Linked DNA regions of Sus scrofa. The protein of the gene in region 3 interacts with the protein of the main gene of each other region in a biochemical or structural test. Links are inferred from orthologs where the notes say so. Each region holds a gene or a part of one and is shown on either strand. Other genes may lie near its edges.

The links.
Region 1: the proteins of DLG4 (region 3) and KCNA5 form a complex in vitro, tested with the Homo sapiens proteins (2 studies listed by BioGRID and IntAct, with this or other methods). The link is inferred for Sus scrofa from reciprocal best matches to the Homo sapiens genes DLG4 and KCNA5.
Region 2: the proteins of DLG4 (region 3) and PKP4 interact in a test that uses a peptide from one of them, tested with the Homo sapiens proteins (2 studies listed by IntAct, with this or other methods). The link is inferred for Sus scrofa from reciprocal best matches to the Homo sapiens genes DLG4 and PKP4.
Region 4: the proteins of DLG4 (region 3) and TANC1 interact in a test that uses a peptide from one of them, tested with the Homo sapiens proteins (2 studies listed by IntAct, with this or other methods). The link is inferred for Sus scrofa from reciprocal best matches to the Homo sapiens genes DLG4 and TANC1.
Region 5: the proteins of DLG4 (region 3) and FRMPD4 interact in a biophysical measurement, tested with the Homo sapiens proteins (2 studies listed by IntAct, with this or other methods). The link is inferred for Sus scrofa from reciprocal best matches to the Homo sapiens genes DLG4 and FRMPD4.
Region 6: the proteins of DLG4 (region 3) and GUCY1A2 interact in a test that uses a peptide from one of them, tested with the Homo sapiens proteins (2 studies listed by IntAct, with this or other methods). The link is inferred for Sus scrofa from reciprocal best matches to the Homo sapiens genes DLG4 and GUCY1A2.

The regions. Positions count from the first base shown.
Region 1 is NC_010447.5:65,439,408-65,443,667, forward strand, and holds the start of KCNA5 (potassium voltage-gated channel subfamily A member 5), read right to left. Parts: upstream 2,801-4,260; 5' UTR 2,529-2,800; coding exon 726-2,528; 3' UTR 1-725. UniProt on the Homo sapiens protein: Voltage-gated potassium channel that mediates transmembrane potassium transport in excitable membranes. Forms tetrameric potassium-selective channels through which potassium ions pass in accordance with their electrochemical gradient.
Region 2 is NC_010457.5:65,675,781-65,678,585, reverse strand, and holds part of PKP4 (plakophilin-4), read right to left. Parts: intron 2,389-2,805; coding exon 2,260-2,388; intron 564-2,259; coding exon 490-563; intron 1-489. UniProt on the Homo sapiens protein: Plays a role as a regulator of Rho activity during cytokinesis. May play a role in junctional plaques.
Region 3 is NC_010454.4:52,560,444-52,563,943, forward strand, and holds part of DLG4 (disks large homolog 4), read right to left. Parts: intron 1,617-3,500; coding exon 1,563-1,616; intron 1,438-1,562; coding exon of another isoform or gene 1,428-1,437; coding exon 1,368-1,427; intron 1,152-1,367; coding exon 1,027-1,151; intron 929-1,026; coding exon 759-928; intron 649-758; coding exon 512-648; intron 361-511; coding exon 216-360; intron 1-215. UniProt on the Homo sapiens protein: Postsynaptic scaffolding protein that plays a critical role in synaptogenesis and synaptic plasticity by providing a platform for the postsynaptic clustering of crucial synaptic proteins.
Region 4 is NC_010457.5:66,112,168-66,115,667, reverse strand, and holds part of TANC1 (protein TANC1), read right to left. Parts: intron 2,571-3,500; coding exon 1,963-2,570; intron 1-1,962. UniProt on the Homo sapiens protein: May be a scaffold component in the postsynaptic density.
Region 5 is NC_010461.5:9,433,039-9,436,538, forward strand, and holds part of FRMPD4 (FERM and PDZ domain-containing protein 4), read left to right. Parts: coding exon 1-179; intron 180-541; coding exon 542-1,822; intron 1,823-3,452; coding exon of another isoform or gene 3,453-3,457; coding exon 3,458-3,500. UniProt on the Homo sapiens protein: Positive regulator of dendritic spine morphogenesis and density. Required for the maintenance of excitatory synaptic transmission. Binds phosphatidylinositol 4,5-bisphosphate.
Region 6 is NC_010451.4:62,206,081-62,209,580, reverse strand, and holds part of GUCY1A2 (guanylate cyclase soluble subunit alpha-2), read right to left. Parts: intron 1,993-3,500; coding exon 1,274-1,992; intron 1-1,273. UniProt on the Homo sapiens protein: Has guanylyl cyclase on binding to the beta-1 subunit. Isoform 2 acts as a negative regulator of guanylyl cyclase activity as it forms non-functional heterodimers with the beta subunits.

The DNA.
Region 1 (4,260 bases), on a different chromosome or scaffold from region 3:
ATGCTTTTTGAAGAAAGTTACAAGAACTGGTTAAGGCGCACAGAAAAAGTTAGACTTGCTTTCTTCCAGAGCATTCTCTGCCCTAGACACAAAGCACCGAAATCACAACTCAGAAAAGAGAGAGGCTTGCAGATAACAGGAACCAGAACAGCCAGACCAGGGTCTCGGACTGTAATAGAAATATCACAGGAGAATGTTGCCATAACCTCCTCTTTCATAAATACAATGTATGTCTTGAAAATATATCCAAAATCTCTCCATCTGAACTACAGTACAAAAATCCACTCGCCAGCCATAAAAATAATATTTTCTCATGTACACAAATATAATTATATGTAAAGCAAATTTGGAACACAGGGATGGGGGGAGATTACCAATTCTCTGGGGATTGGGCTATTTAAAGCCATTTTTGTTTGGGTTATCCCTCTGCTGGGTCTAGGAAACTGGCTACAAATACATCCATCTCACAGTGCTCACCATTTCAACAGCTCCTGCGTCATGGAATGTGGTACTTTTTAAAAATAGGTGACCCTGGGTGTCATGGAAAGAAGAGGAAAGAAAAACTAGGGGATCAAGGAGACGCAGGAGGGGAGCAGTGAAAGAAGAAGGGGCGGACCTAGGTTACAGGGTGGGCTAGAAATACTCTTCGCCATGAAGTAGATCCCCAAGGTCAGGAGGCCCCCCGCTGTCCCCAGCTCTCTGCCAACTATCCACCTGCATCCCCCTTACAAATCTGTTTCCCGGCTGCTATCCAGGCAGAGGGCATACAGAGATCTCCGCAAGTCCACATTGCTCTTGGCCTTGAGGTTACACTTCTCTAAGGGGCAACTGCCCCTCCGGGATCCATCTGCATTATCCAGGGCCCCCACAGCCTTGCAGAGGGACCCCTTGCTCCAGCTGGCCTTCCGCTGGCCACCGCTGGCCAGTCCTGTCCCCTGGCTCTGGCTGCCCTGCTCTTCCTTAAGGGCTGCCTGCTCCTCGTGGTCCGTCTCCCTGTGGTAGAAGTAGTTGAAGTTGGAGACAATGACGGGTACAGGCAGGGCGATGGTGAGGACCCCAGCGATGGCACACAGAGAGCCCACGATCTTGCCCCCCACGGTGACGGGCCTCATGTCCCCATAGCCCACCGTGGTCATGGTAACCACGGCCCACCAGAAGCCATCCGGGATGCTGGAGAAGTGGGTCTCTTGGTTGTCGGCCTCGGCGAAGTAGACGGCGCTGGAGAAGAGGATGACGCCGATGAAGAGGAAGAAGATGAGCAGGCCCAGCTCCCGCATGGAGGCCTGCAGGGTCTTGCCCAGGATCTGCAGCCCCTTGGAGTGGCGGGAGAGCTTGAAGATGCGGAACACGCGGACCAGGCGGATCACTCGGAGGATGGCCAGCGACATGGCCTGCTGCCCGTTCTGGCCGCCCCCTCCCCCACCCCCTGGCTGCTGTTCCACCAGCTCGGTGCCCAGGGTGATGAAGTAGGGGAAGATGGCCACCACGTCGATGATGTTCATGATGTTCCGGGAAAACTCAGCCTTGCTGGGACAGGCGAAGAAGCGCACCAGAAGCTCGAAGGTGAACCAGACGACACACGTGGTCTCCACGATGAAGAAGGGGTCCGCCAGGGTCCTGGGCAGGAGAGGCGCCACTGTGGGACCTGAGGGAGGCGGCGCCGCCGCTGCCCCGCTGCCATTGGCCCCTGGGGCGGGTCCAGGGGGCTGGTGGTGCACCGGGGGATGGCGCAGCAGCTCGCGTTCATCCCTGAACTCAGGCAGGGTCTCCAAGCAGAAGGTGATGATGGAGATGAGGATGACAAGGACTGAGACGATGGCGATGGCCCTCGCGGAGCCCGAGCTCTCCGGGTACTCGAAGATCAGCCACACCTGGCGCTGGAACTCGTTGCGGGGCAGGGGCTTCTCCTCCTCCTTGATGAAGCCCTCGTCCTCCCGGAAGCGCTCCATGGCCTCGTCCCCCAGCTGGTAGAAGCGGATCTCATCCGCGAACACGTCCAGGGAGACGTTGACCGGCCTCCGCAGCCGGCCCCCGGACTGGTAGTAGTAGAGGATGCCATCGAAGCTGGGCCGGTTGCGGTCGAAGAAGTACTCGTTCCTCAGGGGGTCGAAGTAGCGCAGGCGCTTGGCGGGGTCCCCCAGGAGCGTGTTGGGGAATTGCGCCAGGGTGCCTAGCTGCGTCTCAAAGCGCAGCCCCGAGATATTGATGAGGACGCGCTGGTGATGGAGGGAGCCCGCGCCCAGCACCTGGTCCTCCGCCACGCCCAGGGCGGGGTCGCCATCTCCCTCCTCTTCCTCCGGAGGCAGCCACCTCGACTGCGGCAGCTCCTGGGGCGGCGGCGGCACCGGCCGGCCTCCCGGATCCGCGCGCCTCTCTGCTCCGCGGCCCCTTGGCTCCCGCTCCTTGGGTCCATCTCCGAGCGCAGCCGTCGGGGGGCAGCGGAGCTCTCCCCCTGCGGTGCCGGCCTCCCCTCCTTCCTTGACGATCATGGCACCGCCATTCTCCAGGGGCACCAGGGCGATCTCCATGGTCCGGGAGCGGGGGGCATGCTGCGCCCCTGCGGACTGACTCCCGCGCCCCCCTCACACCCTGCTGGGCGACCCGCGCCTGACGCCTCTTCTGCTGGCCGCCGGCACGGCTGTGGGGCGGGCTGGAGTGGCTGGCCGGGTCCCCTCGCTCGGTCCTGACGTCAAGAAGCCGCTGCCCTGCCCTCTGCCTCTCTGGGTTCTGGCAGCCCGTTACCAAGCAGCCAAAAGCCGCCTTCCAGCAGATGCAACCTCCAGCCGCCCGGCGCGGCCTCCGCCCCGCGCGGCTCCCCGCCCCCTGTCGTCCTCTCCTTCCCCCGCCTCCCCTCCGGGCTCAGAGGCAGCGGGAGTCTCCCCGGAGGGCGCAGCTGGGGCCCGAGCGAGGAGGGAGGGGCTGAGCGGGGCTCCGCCGGCGGTGGGAGGAAGGAAGGGAGGGAGAGAGGGAGTGGGGAGGATGGAGGAACAGGTTGTACCGAGAGCGCTGAAACTCCAAGGGCAACCAGATGAGAATAGCTCTGGATTTCAGTTCACCTGGGAAGCCCGCTGAGCGCCGATGGGCTCAGGGGGAAATGAATTGCCCTTGGAGGGATGATTTTGAGATGAGAGGGAGTATGAGAGAAGGCAGTGCTTTTTACGTTTCTCCCTTGGAGGAATAAAGGGTCTCTCTTCTTTGGGCAGAATTACAAACAGGAGGGGGCAGGATAGTTATGGACCTTGGGAAAAAAAAATGTATATATATATGTCTGTATCTCCAGATTGAAGGTGAAGCATCTCTTTTCCCATCTCCCTGCATACATTGGTACCAAAAGGTAACTGAGGGAAAATTTAGTGTGTCCTGCCGCTTAGTAAAGCCCCCATTCCCAGTGCAGACAGCGGTGGTCAGAGGGCAGATGCCACCCAGCAGCCCTAGGCAGCCAGCTGGGTCTGGGAGATTCGCTGCCCTGACGCTCACAACCTCGCTGCTCTCCCCACAAAGCCATTAGCAGAAACCATGAGCAGGGAAGGGGAGGAGGGAGAGAGAGAAGCTGGTGAGAGTGGTTTCTGCCTGGTGAAGCTGGGAGCCGGAACCAAAAGCACATCTGTGTAGGGAGTTGGGGTGGGGGCTCTTCAGGAGAGGGAGCCCCGGAGCTTGTGGAGTGCCCGGGGCTGGAGAATTCTCAGCAGTAGAATAACAATCCATACATACTTGGCTCTTTTGTTGTGTCAGGTCCATTTTCAGCACTTTACAAATATTGACTGGCCTATTCCCTTGGCAACCCATTTTCTCAGCAATGTTATTATCTCCACTTTTTAGAGACAAGGAAAATGAGACACAGAGAGATGGACTAACTTGCCTAAAGTCACACAGTTAGAACACGGTAAAAGCTGGGATTTAAACCCAAGCAAGCAGAGTTCAGGACCCTGTTCCTGTCCCTGTGCTCCTCTCTAGAAATGAGTCACCCCCTTTCAGATATAAGGGTAAAAGAGTTCCTGCTCCCCAACATCTGGGCTGACAGTTTTCGTTCCTCCTGCGGGAGGCAGGAGGGTGGCTAAGAGGACAGCTGAGTGCTTCTGGGTTAGAGAGCCAGGCTATCCGGCTCGCCCTAGCCCTGCTGGGTTTTAGCGAGGAGCATCCGTCCAGAGAGAAATATGCTTCAAGGCAAGTCTGGCCCATCCTGGCACAGCTTCCAGACGTGTTTTTGGTTTTACATTACCAGCAAGTCTCTGTCTTCGAATATCTGTTTGATTGTCTATT
Region 2 (2,805 bases), on a different chromosome or scaffold from region 3:
CAGAAATCTGGCTGTGGCCTCAAGTGTATTCAAACCATGGTGGCTTGGATGGGAGGGAGTCATGAAGATGGAGGAAGAGGTGTACGTGTGAAAAAGAGAAGGATGAGATGAGAGAATGAGGTGTGCTTACCAACCTTTCCCCATCCAGAGGATGGAAGAGATCTTAGAGAGTAACAAGAAGAAAAAAAAAGAAAAAAAAAAAAAAAGAGGGAAAAGAAAACTGTTGGGCAAAGAATAGGAGTGTAAGACTTCTCAGTTGGTGCCCGTCAGGGGCATGGTGGTACCAATTCAGTCCTCCTCAAGGACATGAGGCTACTGTGGAAGTGATCTGCATAAACCATGGATGAGCTTCCGAGGAGCAGAGATCCCCAGGAAAGCTCCTGGGCCCCTGCTGTGTCGGCCCAGCTCAGGTGAGTCAACCCACGCGGACCCCTTACTGTGTTCATCCCTGCTAATCGGCCTTCTGTAAAAATGACATTGCAAATTCACCTGTAGCCGTCTATTTTGTTCTCTTGCTGGTGAGGAATAGGAACTGATGTAAATTGGTGAAGGTTTGCTGGAGCCTGTAAGAAAATATTTTATGAAATTAAAACTAGTGCTCATTACTGCGGTCCATTAGGTGGTGTGGACTCCCTGACAGGCCCTGGATTCCCCCGCTGCCAGCACAGACCCGGACAGTCAGCAGCTTGGGTTCCCTGGATGAAGCCTGCCTGCTGCTTACCCCAGGGCTATTCAGTAAAGGCTGATGAATATGCCAAAAAAAAAAAAAAAAAAAAAAAAAAAAAAGAGGCTGTGTGTTTTACCAAAAAGCAATGCTAATGCATAGCTCATCCGCAAAGGGTTCCTTCTCAACCTCTGGTCACTGTGGGGAGCACTGAACTGGTGGCTCTTGACAGCAGACTTGTCCCCTGAGCCGAGGAACGTGGCTTTTCCAGGGCTCTGAGCTAGTGCACTGGGTCAGATGCGGGAGGGAAATACAGCAGAACAAGCTCCGGGCCTTTAGAACAGCTTTGATTCAGAATCCCAGGTCTGGAAGGAGCAGGCACAGGTGTGTTCCAAGCAGGGTGGCCGCATGGAGGCCATGTTTAAGTATGTTTTGAAACAAAAAGAACCTGGGTATCAGAGAGCTGTCTTTAGGAGTCTACGGCAGATTCCTGATGCTGTCACTGGTTACCCTTCTAGCATTGTTAAGGCTAGCAGAGATTTTATTTTATTTTTTAATGAGGAAAATGAAACATATTTGAGGCAAATTAGTTTATTGAAGCAAGCAAAGAAGATACAGAAGGGCGCGCATGCTAAGGAGGCGGTCTTTAAAATAAAGCAGGCTGCTGCAGACCTGAAGCACCAATGCACTTCGGTTGGTCTGTGCATTTCCTCTGCAAAGAGCTTGATGTCTGAAATGTAGCATCTGCAATTTTCTGAGCTATTAATTGCCATAGTAACAATAGTCGATTAGTAAACAGTCCTGTGAAATCACAATTTCAAAGACAACAGCACAACTGAGACTGCTCCCCCAGCAGTTGTTAAATTGCCACCAGCTTTTATTTATTTCTTTTTAATAAATAGGTTTTTTGAGAAAGGAGTTTTCTTTTTTTTTGGTAGCTCACACTGCCTTATTTGAAGCCTCTAAAGTGGTTCTAATTTGCAAGATAGTTGAGAATGGAGACAATATGAATCTTGGTAACCCTTCAGGTTGTCATTCTTTAAATAATATGCATGGCTTTCTGAATAGGACATAAAAATATTAATGCTATACAACATCACTTTTGTTATTCTTAAAAAATAGTCACTCTGAGGAGACTGTATATTTTGTTATTCATTCAAACTCTTTCCCATGAGAATGTAAATGGAATTGATCTCCATCCGCAGGTTTGAATTTATGAGCTGGTCCAGGAGATGTGGCCCTGCCAGGTGTCACAGAGCTCAGGGTTCGGGGACCCCGGAACACACAGCGCAAGACTGCTCGGGCAGGGTGGGGCAGGACAAAGGGCCAGCGCTGCTGCGTAGCCAGAAATGCTTTCTCATTTGGAGACAGTGCTCTTTTTATTTGTGGTCACCAGACCACCACCTTAGCTTATTTCAAGTAAAACAAGCAAAAAGGCAACAGCCCCTGAAGCAGAAGATGAGAGGCTGGACCAGTGTTTGCTGCTGGGGGACCATCTCATTGCAGGCAGAGGTTACCTCCCAGGCCACTGGCCGTGTGCCTGGGGACCCGCGGCTTTTCGAGATACTCTATCACACACCCAACTGGCGTCTTACCAGGGTACAGGCCTCTATGAGTGGCATCCCCTTGGCTACTGTAATACTGCATAGGTGGCTGGGTCCTATCGTATTCAGAGCGAGGGTCTCTGATTCCTAACAGTGCTGGTGAGGAAGAGGTGCTGCCGACTGAAGGGAGAGGCAAGAGGAGGGAGGGGGAGAGAGAGAGAAAGAGAGAAGAAAGAGAAATCAGACTGTCAGTGTCTCTAGAAAGTCCTCTCTGGAAAAACAAAGTAATTAGAAGTGCACGTGCCTGGCACTACAGTCAACTCTTAGAGGTGCTGTGATTAAAGGGCAGCCAGCCCCAGTTCCTGGAAGGTGACCTGCAGGTCGGCCACTGCAAGGATCAGCACTGTCAGCCACCACATTGGGCAGGGATCGTGCAATTTCTCCACTGAGATGGGGGGGGGGTGTCTCAATGACCTGCTTAAGCCTTTGAAACTGAGGGATGGTAATTCCCAGTCGTGCCCAAGTTCCATTTGCAACTTTATGATCTCAGTTCAGTTGCTTGTGTTACACCCATCTATTATCCTTTACGTATAGTTC
Region 3 (3,500 bases):
CACCTGGGCCTTGCGCCTTCTCTGGGGAAGAAACCTATCGACAATCTTTTCTAGTTCCGCTAAGGTGACCAATTTTCCATCTATTCTCCTGCCACAGGAAGTGACAGAGGTTGTAGCTGGCTCGTGGGACGTATCTGAAGAGGAACGGTCGCCAGCGATGTCACGGGGGGAACCGGGCCGGGCACGGGGAGCTCTGGGGTTTGGAGGGCTCTCACAGCTTGTGATGTCTGGGGGAGCATAGCTGTCACTCAGGTAGGCACTGCTGGGCTTGGCCACCTTCAGGTAGACAACATCATACGTGTTCTTCAGGGCTGCCACGGCATCCTCATGCATGACGTCCTCCAGCCCCACGCTGTTGACCTGGGGTCAAGGGAAGCAGAGCTCAGACAGAACCAGAAATCGCCTCAAGGCAGATGCCCTGCCGCTGAGCCGCAAAGGGAGCCCGGGCCCTGTGCAGGGCCCAGCACACAGGACCCGGGTGTGGGCTGGAAGAGCGATGGGGGGTCCTCACCGCCAGGATCTTGTCTCCAATCTGCAACCTCCCATCCTTGTGGGCGGCACCCCCTTCGATAATCTTGGTTACATAGATGCTATTATCTCCAGGGATGTGCTGGTTCCCTACACCGCCTGCGATGCTGAAGCCAAGTCCTGGATGGAGCGGAGGGCAGAGGTGGGTGCCCAGGTACCTGGAGAGCAGGTCTTGGGGCTGGGGACGGTTGGCATGGGGGGGTGGGGGTGGAGGCACAACAAGTTACTACCTTTAGGCCCCTTGATGAGCTTGATCTCCATGAGCTTCTCGGCGGGGGGCTTCCGGCGCATGACATAGAGGCGGACAATGGAGCCCGCCTCTTTGAGGGCCTCCACCGCAGCTGAGTGGGTCACCTCCCGCACATCCACTTCATTTACAAACAAGATGCTGTCGTTGACCCTGAAGACAGCAAGGCGGGCCTGAGCCAGGAGCTTCCTGCCGCCCTGGCCCTCCCGGTCAGGGGATCCAGCATCCTAACCCCTGTCTCCTCCGCCCACCTGAGGCGGCCATCCTGGGCCGCAGCCCCACCGGGAATGATCTTGGTGATGAAAATGGATGGGTCGTCACCGATGTGTGGGTTATCCGTGCCACCTGCGATGCTGAAGCCCAGACCTGAGTTACCCTGGGCAGAAGAAGGGGAAGAGGGTCAGCTTCCTGCACAGCCCACTCCAGCCAGGGCGAGTGGCGGAGGCGGGGGGGGGGGGGGGGGGGGGGCAGGAAGCTGTGAGCCGAGCAGGAAGGGACAGGGTTGAGAGGCTCGCCACCTAGAAAACACAGGCCCAGGGAAGCACAGGCAGGGAGCGAGGGGAGAGGGCCTCAGGGGGAGGAGCCCGCTCACCCTTTCCAATGTGATCTCCTCGTATTCCATTTCCCCCTCCGTCCCGTTCACCTGCAACTCCAGCACCGGCCAGAAACACAAGAGCAGTGAGACAGACTTCCTCCCTGGGAACCTGGCCCACCCCTGCCCCTGCGGCCCGGGCCCTCCCTCTCTCCCTCCTCCCTACGGAATGGCCCCAAAATCTAAACAACTCACATATCCCGGGGCTTCTAGGGTATCTGTGTTGACAATCACTGGGGGAGAATTGGCCTGTGAGGAAAAAAAGGAGACCCGGTAAGCAAGAGGCCCACCAGCGCAGCTACCCTCTCAGCCTGGTTTGTTTGGGAGTTTTTTTGGCCAGGACATGAGGAAGTTCCCGGGCCAGGGATCGAACTCCTGCCACAGCAGCCACTCAAGCTGCTACAGTGACAACATCAGATCCTTAACCTGCTGTGCCCGGGAGAATGCCTACCCACTTAATCTAGCCTGCTCTGCTACCCTTGACTCCCTGAAGGACTCGGCCTCACTCCACGTGACATACACACACGTGCACACGTGCTGGACCCAACTCTGCCCAGCCCAGGTCCCCTGCATGTGGAAGGAGGTGTCTGAGAAGCAGGAAGGGAGAGACAGCCAGATGGGGGAGCAGCAGATGGTGAAGAGTCAGGGCGGGGGGACCGACGGGGGGTGGGGGGGAGAAGAATCTTCTCACCGGATGTAACACCAGAGAGTGTTATATGCCTTATGCGCTACACACACCCCCCAGGACTTAGGTCCACTGGGTCCGCCCTCCCTTCCTGCCCCCATCCCTGTCCCTATCTGCCCACATACACTCAGATACCTTCATAACCCTACCTCAGATTTGCCCCTCATTTTCACACACATTTGCCCCAAACCCTGGGCCCCAGGAATCCGGGGATCCCCCAGATGCGGGCCCCACCCTCTCCCTCGCCCACCCACCATTCAATCCACGCCTTCCTCTAGGGACCGTGTTGCCTAGCAACGGTATCTAAGCCCAGCCAAGGCCTAGGGAGACCCACCTCCTGGAGGCCCTGTCGTCAGGACAACGGGAGGGGGAGATGGGGCGTGGCCTGGGGCAACCAGACTCCCAAAGGCCGAAGGGATCCGCTAGCTCCGCCTCTCCTGCCCCGGGGCCCGCCCCCCGTTAGCCAGGCAGAAAGAAGTCCCCGTTCAGGGGTCTGTGGGCGCAGCACATTCTGAGTAACCTCCTTCCTCCCTCCCCTACGCCCCACACCCTACGCAGTGCAAAGGACGTCAGAAAAAGGGGAGTGGTGAAAGACATCCGGGTCTTATCCTCTCATCTCTCTCCCCACCCCCACCTCATCCGGGAAAGGGTTAAAGCGGGGAGTGTCCAGGTCCCTGACGTCAGTCGCCTCGGCGCAGCAAGGTCTCTATAGACTTCAGGGCGGGGCCAGCTCTAGGCTGGTCCTAGGGGCTTCCCCCATTGCCAGGGCAACCGAAACCACGTTTCCATGGCAATGGAGGAAGGCGGCCAAAAGCCGCCTTCCGGGGTCCCCAACCTATCTCCTCCTTAAGCAAACATGTATTTGGAGCCTACCAAGCGCGAGGCACTCGTCACGGATTCCCCGACTCCTCGATCTCTCCTTCCAAAGGGGTCCCTCCTCTCTCCTACTACTTCTCGATACTACGCACTTTCAAACCCTTTAACAGATTTCATACGCACACATCTATCACCACCATCCTCCGACCCTTCACATCCCAGCAGATGCTACCGTCCAGCCAATAGCCCAATAGCCGCTGACTGCCAAAATCTCATCCTCAGGCCCATCCTCTACCCCACAGCCTATCCCCAGTCGCCATCCCCATCCTGATCCTAGAACTTCCTTCCCCAGGCCGCGTCCTTCATCCGCAACTACTTCCAGCCGTGTCCCCTCCCCCTCCCTGCCCCTGCCCTGTGTGATATCCTCCATCTACAGCTCTGCCCCACCTTTCAATTTCCATCTTCCAACCCCAGCCTCCATTCCCCATGGCCTTCCCTGTCCTCACCCTCCCCTCCGGCCCCTTCCTTTATCAGTCTCCTGCTCTTGGCCTCCATCCTAATTTCTGGCTCCCTGACCTCATCCTCAAACCCTCAAGATTCTGTGTGCCCAAATCACACTTCTTCAACCCACT
Region 4 (3,500 bases), on a different chromosome or scaffold from region 3:
GATAAGACATTCAACTGATGCCACCAATTAATTCCCCCCACTAATCTTCTCATGAAGGAGCCATCCTACCCATTTTCCTTCCCCTGTAGGTCTCATTCTATCTCCTGTGGACTCCATGCCTCTGTCTGAACTAATCTGTTTGGAAAAGATGCAAAGGGTTGTTTACTCCAAGAACAGTGACTTCTGTGCTAGGTGAAATATTTTCATTTCTATAACCCTGATAACTCTGAGGTCTGTTTTGCTGAGGAAAAGATAAACATTGTAGAAAAGAATTCTTCTAAATGCGTTTTCTAACAGTTGCTGATCCAGAGGATTAAAAGTATGATGCTTGCCTGTTTCTCAAATCAATGATAAATAAACCATGTTAGGGACAAGGAAATCGGGGCATATGAAAACCAAGAGATTGCTTTTTATCCTCCAGGGGAAGACATGATATTTAAGCCCACACTGCGTGAGTGTCCATCTAACATGTTGTAAGGGTCTAGAGCACATACGCCATGCTCCTTTGCAGACACTACCTCCCAGAACTCAAGTCTGATTTTCCCTCTCAGGTGAGAGCCTCCTGTGTTCCCATGGAAACTACTCTCTATTACCTTCCAGTGCTCCAGGCACTCCTGGATGCCATCCATGGGCTGGTCCCAGAGTTCAACCTGGCCCATATCACCTCCACGTCATCTATAGCATCTCCTCTCCCACTGCCTTCAGGCCAAGCCAGCCATCTACCTCATGTCAGCAAGGCTGGTCTCTACCTCACTGCCTTCCTAGAAAACACCTGCGTTTTCCTAGAAAATCATCTGATTTGGCCAAATAAGTCACAGTACACATTTCACCTAGATATTACTGTCTGGCTAAATAACCTGGAGTTACAGGTTTTTTCCCCAAAGCAGGTTCAAAAGACGATAAACTTTTAGCTCAGTGTCGCCTAGGAAAACACCCGACCACGACCTGAAAGAGCAATTAAACCCAGGGGGTCGGCATTAAGTCAATATCCATGGGAGGAAGGGATTATGGGGCTCACAAGCGCTTATTCATTTCATCTCTAGGCCCCAGCATCTGATCAAATGCCCAGTCCAGACAAAAGGGAAGAAATGAGTAGCTTGTCAGACCTGCTATAAAAGGTAAGGAGCCATTCTGACTCACAGAAGGCAGAAATCATTCAAGACAGCAAGGATGCTGGCCAAGGTCAGGGCCAGGCACAGGTCTTGGACATGAACACACCCTTTTCTGAGAGCATCAGCATCTCAAATTCCCTGTCTCTCATCCTGACTAGCACCACACCACAGGGTGGGCAGGCTTCCCACCTGCCCCCTCATCAGGCAGTGAGGGAACCTGAACTCTGGCCCAGCCTTGCGGCAAAGTCTCTTGAAACTTTTGACTGTCTGGATACAGCTGCCCCTTCGCCATTTCATAAATGGGGCATCCTCCAGACCCCCAAATCCCAGTCTGTTACACTGTGCAGAACACAAATACGAAATGAGGTGGCCAGATGTGATCACTGTGTCTGAGGGCCAGAGGGGAGCACATCAGATACCTGGGACAAGATGCCACAAGCTCAAGAGCAGGCAAGGAGTGGCAGTGCTGAGGATGCAGGACAGTCCACAGATCCCCAGGGAAGAAGTGGGCTGGGAACGGGCTCTAGAGGAGCTGGCTGGTCCCTGCAGCAGCTATCACACATTCACACAGGTGACCCCTGTGCCAGGGCACAAGGTCTAGAAGAGGACGCCAAAGACACCCAGGTACTGCCCAGTTTCTCTTTTATCCAAATGTACTGAGGAGTCCTAAAAGTCCAGACATTAAGGAAGGGAGCTTTGGTTTAGTGGGAGGGAGACTTTTCCATCACCCCTCCTGAATTATTCATGCTGTGTTGCCCTTCTGTGAAATAGCACGGATTGCGTTTGAAATCCCTTTCCTGAGCGCATATCAGACTCCCTGCACAGAGCTGCTAGAAGAGGCCTGTCATACCTGGGCTCACACAGGAAGGCTGTGTTTTCGCCATCTGCTCTCCAAACAAGCCACTCCCTGAAGGATGGGTGACAGAACATGCGAGTTTTGTCTCGCCTCTTGATGAGGAAACAGGAGAGGGCATCCATCCTCTGCTGGAAGTCCTCCCAGCCCTGCTCCCCTTGGATGTGGCCGGCATTAATTGCCTGGAAGATCTGCTCATCTGTCATGGGGTGGAGGGACGCGAGGGCCACGTTCAAAATCGGAAGCGCTCTCTCAAAGGCGGACTGGGTCATGAACTTCATGTTGCATTGAAGCAGGTAGAGTTCAGACAGTGACACAGGCACCACCTTGTAGCTGGCGCTCTTGATGACCAGGTGCCCCCTCTGGAAGAGGTCCAAGGTGAGCTTGAGGTACAGGTAGGAGCCCAGGCTCCGCAGCACCAGGTGGCTGCTTACTTTCCCAATGAGGGCAGCATCGGCCTTGCCGTTCAGGGAGATGTTGCTGAGGATGTCCTGGCTGCTGTGTACCCTGTGCTGCACGTAGGCGTGCAGGTCGCTGTGGATGTCCTTGTTGTCTGGAAAGTCATCTAAGGACAGCTTGACGAATGGCAGCTCACTGACAATTTCCTGCAGAAGAACGAGACCCACAGTGTCACTCCACAGAGGCTTCTTTTATGTCAGCTGCATTGCAAACCAGATCGACTAGTTCTCTTTCAAGGAGGATTTTCATGGATTACAGGGGCTCATTGTTTTGTATTAAAACACGTAATAGGATAAATGGAAGATAAAAAGCTTACGTGAAAGCAATGCCTGATGTAAGATCAAATCAGAAAAGGCTTTCCCGAGGCCCTTATCCAGGACACAGAGCCAAGCGAAATGGCAGAGCCTCGAGCACTCGGCGGCGACCTGGCTGCACCAGCAAAGGGGCATCGAGACCCCCAGGTGACCTGATATCCATAATCCTCACACTGTGTAACTGGTTACATAATAAGGACAGACACAATGCAACACTGTACATCTAAGCCCATGGCCAGACACTGAGATCAGATACCCACTGGCTACATAACCAAACCAGGATATCCGAAATTGCCCCCAGCCTGTACTCTGGTGACAGGCTGTGGTAAACAAAGCTGCTGGACTTCCATATAGCCCAACTTTTTTATTTGCTGGTTTTTAGTAAATATTTATTTATTTTTGTCTTTTTAGGGCCACACCCGTGGCATATGGAAGTTCCTAGGCTTGGGGGTTGAATCAGAGCTGCAGCTGCCTACACCACAGCCACAGCAATGACAAATCTGAGCTGAGTCTGTGACCTACACCACAGCTCATGGCAACATCAGATCCTTCACCCACTGAATGAGGCCAGGGATCGAACTCGCATCCTCATGGATACTAGTTGGGTTCATGACTGCTGAGCCACAATGGGAACTCCCTTAGTAAACTTTTAAATTGAAATACGACATACAGAGATGCACAAATTCTAACTGCATGGTGTCATTCATTTTCACAAAGTCACCACATATACCTGTGGGACCAGGAGGTAGACACAGAACCATA
Region 5 (3,500 bases), on a different chromosome or scaffold from region 3:
GGACAAGGAGCCAGGCAGCACTCTGCAAAGCGACGAGATCCCCGTGTCCCTCATTGACGCTGTGCCCACCAGCGCCGAGGGGAAGTGTGAGAAGGGCCTGGAGGACAGCGTCGTTTCCACGCTGGATGCGCTCGAGGCTCTGTCCGTGTCCGAAGAACAGCAGACCAGTGACAATTCAGGTTCTTTCACGATTGTTACGTTTATTCACTGATAGCCAAATCATTTCATCCTTTCAAGCCATCTGCCCTTGGAGTCCTGTTATGTCCTTCATTTCACGCATGTCCCATTTCCTAAATGTGCTGAAAATACCACCATGGGTTTTTTGTGTATATGGTTTCCTTTGTTGTTATTTAAAAAAAAAAAAAAAGTGGCCCTTTCTGTTTCCCCTGTCTCTGGAACAGCTGTGCAATAAACTCAGAGTCCTTACAGCAAAGGGAAAAACTTGGTATTTGTCGTAATAGTAACGAGTCCCATTTGCTTACATGTCTCCTAGTGCCTGTGACGCATCCATTAACCGCTTCTTGTTTCTCACGGCATGCAGGTGTAGCCATCCTGCGGGCTTATAGTCCCGAGTCCTCGTCAGACTCGGGCAATGAGACTAACTCTTCTGAAATGACTGAGAGTTCCGAACTGGCCACAGCACAGAAGCAGTCAGAAAACCTCTCCCGCATGTTCTTGGCCACTCACGAAGGCTACCACCCCCTCGCAGAAGAGCAGACAGAATTCCCCACTTCCAAAACCCCAGCCGGAGGCTTGCCCCCAAAGGCCTCCCACGCTCTGGCCGCCCGTCCCGTGACTGACCTTCCACCCAAAGTTGTGCCTTCCAAGCAGATACTTCACTCGGACCACATGGAGATGGAGCCTGAAACCATGGAGACCAAGTCCGTCACTGACTATTTTGGCAAGCTGCACATCGGCTCAATGGCATACTCCTGCACCAGCAAAAGGAAAAGCCAGCCGGCTGACGGGGAGGGGAAAGCAGCCCTTAATGGGAGCATGCCGGGGAAAAAACAGCAGGGGACCAAAGCACCCGAGGCGGAGGAGGGCCCCAAAGGTCAGTTCGGTCCTGTGTCTTCAAGGGACAGTCAACACCTCAGCACTTTTAACCTGGAGAGAACTGCCTTCCGCAAGGACAGCCAAAGATGGTACGTGGCCACCGAGGCTGAAAAAAGTGGCTTGGAAGCAGCCACAGGGATAACCTTTCCAAGAGCTTCGGGTGTGGGGACAAGGGAGGCCGAAGGGAAGGACGACGGGACTCCCGATGGAGAAGCCATTGAGGTTTCAGGACTTGGCCAACGGGACCACTTCTTAACTGATGTGACCTGCGTGTCTTCCGCTGAAGACTTAGACAACCCGGAGGATGCTGACCCGGCGGCCTGTGACCATCCTTCCAAGCTCCCCGAAGCAGAAGAAGGCGTTGGGCGCCTCTGTGACTACCACTTGGCCAAGCGGATGTCGTCCTTGCAAAGCGAGGGCCACTTTTCCCTGCAGAGCTCTCAGGGCTCTTCAGTGGATGCGGGCTGTGGCACGGGCAGCAGCAGCAGCACCTGTGCCACACCCATGGAGTCCCCACTCTGCCCCTCCATGGGGAAGCACCGGATTCCTGAGACTTCGGGGAAAGGCGTGAGTTACATTCCTCCAGAGGAGAGAGCCGCAGGGCTTCCCGGCCACGGAGCCACCTTTAAGGAGTTACACCCCCAGACGGAAGGGATGTGTCCGCGGATGACAGTGCCTGCTCTGCACACAGCCATTAATGCCGAACCTCTGTTTGGCACTTTGAGAGACGGATGTCATCGACTCCCCAAGATTAAGGAAACCACAGGTACAGCAGTGATGGATTTAGTGCTTTGTGTTACACACCAGAAGCACATAAACCAAAATTACAACAAACCTAAAAATACCAAGTCCAGAAGAAAAGTCAAAGTTAGGATTTTTTTAAAAGGCTGCAGAACTGTAGCCAGGTGAAGTAGCAACCATTGATTCCCCCAGTGTTGACATAAATGCTGAAGTTTCCAGACCAGGGCAGGAGTGGAAATGGCATTTGTTCTTTAGACTCCTGCTCTGTCTTGCTTTTCGAGTTTGATGGCGGAATTTTTTTTTCCCTAAGTGATGAATATAGGCTTTGAGCAGTACGCAGTGTGACTTTCAGTTGCGAGATAGTATTTATTGCCTAGAGTCGCAAAAGTTCTGATTTCCATCTCAAGACATCAAATCTCTGATTTTGCCATTTCGCTTTTGAGAGACAAGGAGGGAGAGTGCACCAGAGGATCTGGGAGATTGGAGGACTTGGGGAAGATCATTTACCTTTCAGCAGTATTTACAGACTCCTCCACACTCTGTAAGGTTCTCCCAGATGAGCAAACTTGAGGTGTCTGGCATATCCAGTGTCAGGAAGGTTTGGGGGGTTGGCATGCTGAGCTGCCTTATTTTCCCCCAAATAATAAAATAGACACATGGGTAGAAACACAGGCACAGCTACCTTCTGTACCTACCTTCACCATTCTTCCACCCCCTGGGTACCTGTCTCCCTGATCCACGTGGCCAGCCATCCTGTGGGAAAAGCAGACCTTCTTTCACACTTTTCAATTTCAAATGGTATCCTCTGTAGGGTCTTTTCCATATAGGTCCGCAGATGGTGGTGGGACCTTATATTGGTTAATTTCCATTCCTGCCCTTTTTTAAGATTATCTCTTTTCTCAAGACTCACCCCTGGCTTCACCTGCCTTGGGAAACCCGTCTATGAATGTTACTTAACTCATCACCCAACTAAGCATATTCACCTCTAAACTAACTGAAGTGCGCTGTTTAATCTTTTGCAGTTTACAAAGAGCGTTCATCTAACTTACCTCTTGCTTCTCACAAAAGTTCTGTGAGATGGAGATTATTTTCTTCACACGCCAACTTTTTTGGGACTTGCCAAGTGTCTCAATTTCAAACCCTATACTAGGCAAACCTCATGGGGTCTTTTAAAAAGGTTACTATATTTAATTTGCATTAATTATACGAGGCCGCTTCTTTTTAGAAAGGTAACTGATGCCAGGATTAACCTAACTTCTTGAAATGAAACTTAAATATCATAAATATGTTTGAATATTTATATATGTGAGATGTATGTTTTCTAATTATGTGTCTAAGCTTTAACAGACAAGTATTAGGAACAAGGCAATTTGTGAAATTCCACTGTCTCCCTTAAAATATTTGCAGTTTCCAAACAGTGCCAAGTGAGTCAGTAGTTTAAGAAGCAACCAATTCTGGTGTTTCTTAAAATGTATTAAAGTCAAACTCTATTCTAAGATTTCAGGAGGCAGTCTTTGGAGAGCAGGTTGACCCTGACAGATGGCAGCCCTTCTAGAATACTTCCTTAGGAGATGACAGATATGATATAGAGATTTAGTAAAAATGACCACCTACGAGATGCTTAATGGTTCTCTCTGTTTTTCTGCTACCCCTAGTGTAGCTTTGACAGAGCCTGGGAAGGAGAGACGAGGAGGCATGCCTTC
Region 6 (3,500 bases), on a different chromosome or scaffold from region 3:
AAAAATTCAAATTTATCAACAGAATCAAAATTTTTAACCAAGATTTTCTTCTTGCCATATTTTAGGAAATTATAAATTTGGAATTTGGCAACATAATAGTTCAAAAATATTATTCATCTGGTTATGATTCCATGCATAACTTTATTGACTGTAATTTTGTTTGGACCAATTGTAGGCTCCCAAATTTCCTATTCTGGCAAACCCAGGTGAATAAGCAGAAACGTAAACAGGATGAGAGGATTGCTATCTTTATTCTAACTAAAAATCCTGCCTATTGCTTTATTTTTAAACTGCCACTAACATGTTTAAATTATAATTGCATCTTCTCAATGAGCACAGTTCCTCATTATTGTAACTGGCAGGGGGCCTTGGCATTTGAGTCATCATTTCATTGTGTCTATTTCTTACCATGGTATACAAATTAAATAGACATTCAAGCCAGATGAAATATAGGAGGAAAAATCTGAAGCAGTAACTTCAAATTGAATTAATTTTTCTCAAATCTACAAAATGTATAAAGCAATTAACAGTTGGTAATAATATATTCTACTTCAGGCACATTTTCAAAAACATTAACTTCAGTTCTCAGGCCAAATCTCTCCAAGCCGAATATTGTAGTTTTGTAAAACAAAACCAACAGCTTTAATATTTCCTAAATTGAATGATAGAATAATCCTAGTGTATTCTGTATTCTCTCAAAGAATGAACATATTCTCAAGAAATGTGTTTTTATCAATACTAAAGTTTAATCAGAAGAGAAGTCTTAAGATAGTGACTTAATTTTTAACTTTTAGAAAATACATTATTCTGCACCTTAAGAAAAAAAAGGATATAAACCATATGTTCCTAGATTATGAAATTTAGAGCATAACATATTCAAAGTATAGCTAGTGTTTTACCCACATTTATTTAGGTTATCCTTCCCACAATGTTGCAATCAGTCTTACCATTTCTGTCACAGTTTGACTTAAATCAATGGAAATATTCATGGATTTACAGTATCAGGTTGTTAGTGAGTCCTATCATTTTTATAATTACTATGGCTAGTAAAAATACATTTCTTCTTTTTATATGATGAAATAAATTAATGAAAGGGATTATGCAAATGGCTGGGAATAAATCCAAATCTTTTTTGATATGTCCAGGGGCCAGTAATTTTCTAAATGGCACACTAAGCTCTCTTGCCTAAATAATTACAAGTACTGCCAGCATGTTATCTACTGAAACAATTATGTAATCTCCTAGTTCCCACCACCCACATCAAGTCACTTACCTTTTCTTTATTCTCAGTGCCAGAAGCCTCAGGCTTGGTCCTGATCACAAACGGAGTAGACAGTCGCAGCAGGACCCTTTCAAAGGTGGCATTAATCTTTGGAGAAACGATCTCGAAGCAGTCCTCAAACATAAGCACTTTGTGAGTGTCACATCGGAGCTGTTTCCTTAGTCCTTCTCCCAGCTGAAGGACTGACATGTGGGGGTCAAACATCAAGTGGAAAGGGAAGGCTCTGCAGAAGGTGTTGATGCTAATTCTCAGGTCTGCAGGAACTTGGGAGGTTCCCTGTGGAAGGTTCTTCGTGATATTAGTATTTTCACATTGTTTGATAAGGAAAGAAAGACAGCTACAGTTGCCTGGGTTTGAACCATCTGAGCACAGTTTCTCATTTGCAACCTGATCAACTTCTACATCCAGCCGATAGATCTTCTTTCCTGCAGCTTTAATCATCCCAAGCATTGCAAATCCCACAATATGGTGAGGGTGGAAGTAGTGAAGCATAAGAGTACCTTCAGGGAGCTCTTTGCATAGGAATGACGGAGACTCCAGAGTGGCCTGTTTTCCAAAAGAAGTTCTAATGTGTTCCAATAAAGCATCAAAGCCATTAAAAAAGTCCTGCAACGTGCCACCTACAGCTCGAAGAACTCTTTCATTCTCATCGAAGCATATATTAAAGAACTCCTCACCAAATCTTTCTTGAATTTCCTCAAACTTCAAACCTAGAGACAAATGGAACCAAAAGTTAATGAAGTACAGCATAAGTAATTGAATTTATAGCTTTTGTAATGTTTATCAAATGAGGTAGCTAGTGAGTGCAGCAAGAGAGGTATTTCCCTTTGAGAACCTCAATTACTCAAATAGTTTAATTCATATATTTTGAGTTAAAGAAAGAAAAATTTAGTATGTTCATGATGCTTTTGAGATGTCAATAAGCATAAACTTTGGCTGTTGTTGTTTGTTTTTAATAAACTTTATTTTTAGAACAGTTTTAGATTCATAGCAAAACTGACCAGAATATAAAGATATTTTCCAAGTACCCCCTGTATCCCACACACACTACCCCTCATAACTATCGATATTGTGCATCAGTGTTATGTTAGTTACAACCAATGAACCTACACTGACATATCAATATCACCCAATAGTGTTTATTCTTGGTGTTGAGCATCTGAGTTTTGACAGATGTACAATAACATGTGTTCACCATTATAGTCTCTGTGCTCACTATTATAGTATCATACAGAGTATTTTTTCTGCCCTCAAAATTCTTTGTGCTCTACTCTACCTATGCATTTCTCCTTTCCCTCAACCCCTGAAGCACTAACTTTTTAAATGCTAAGCTAGCTATACTCTTTTCTTTTCAATACCCTATTCCATGTGTTGTAATTATCATGAATAATATATCTTCCTTAATGATTTCCCTCATCTTTAAAGAATTTGTGAGGCAACTATAAAATTGTCTCCATAATCATGTCCATTCAATATTACTATTTTGTTTACCAAAATTCATTTGTTAAGTGGGAAATATCAACCAGAGAGGGAATCTATAGTACATGGGCAGAGAAAGGTATCAGGTTATCTCATGTAAACAGAAGGACTTAAATTAGTAATCTCAGAGAAAGGCATGAAGGTCAGCTAGACCCCAGGAAGAGAAAAACAAAACAAGGAAATAAAACTGTGAAATGATTTGCATTCATTCTTTCACCTACAAAAATAAGAGAAAATAAAAGTGGAGTAAGAATCTGAACAGACAGAGTTAAAGGCCATTGTTCAGTTTTCTCAGTTCATATTCTTTCCCAAATGCCATAGTAAAAGGAAATCTACTTTATAACAATGGATTATAATAATTTATAACAAATATGCATACAACATGTTATATGATAATTAGAAGCAGAATAACCTGTGATCTAGTTAGATCAACACTTGAAGATGATTAAAGGAAAAATACAGAGGAAACATATTGGTCCAAAGAGGAAGAATGTATACAGCACAGATAAAAGAGTTGAGTCGGTATCCTAAGAAACTTCTACGTTAACACATGCTAGAGCTTCTCCTTTGACTTCAGCTGAAATCAAAACATCTATTCTACATATTCATATTTTATTGTCTCACCTATCCCATCTTATAAGGAAGTCCTAAACGTTAGGACAGAAAAAAAAAAAAAAAAACAGGTCCCTTTGCTAGTGTCCCATTAGAATGCAAAGCAGTCTAGGCTGTCTTTAAGACT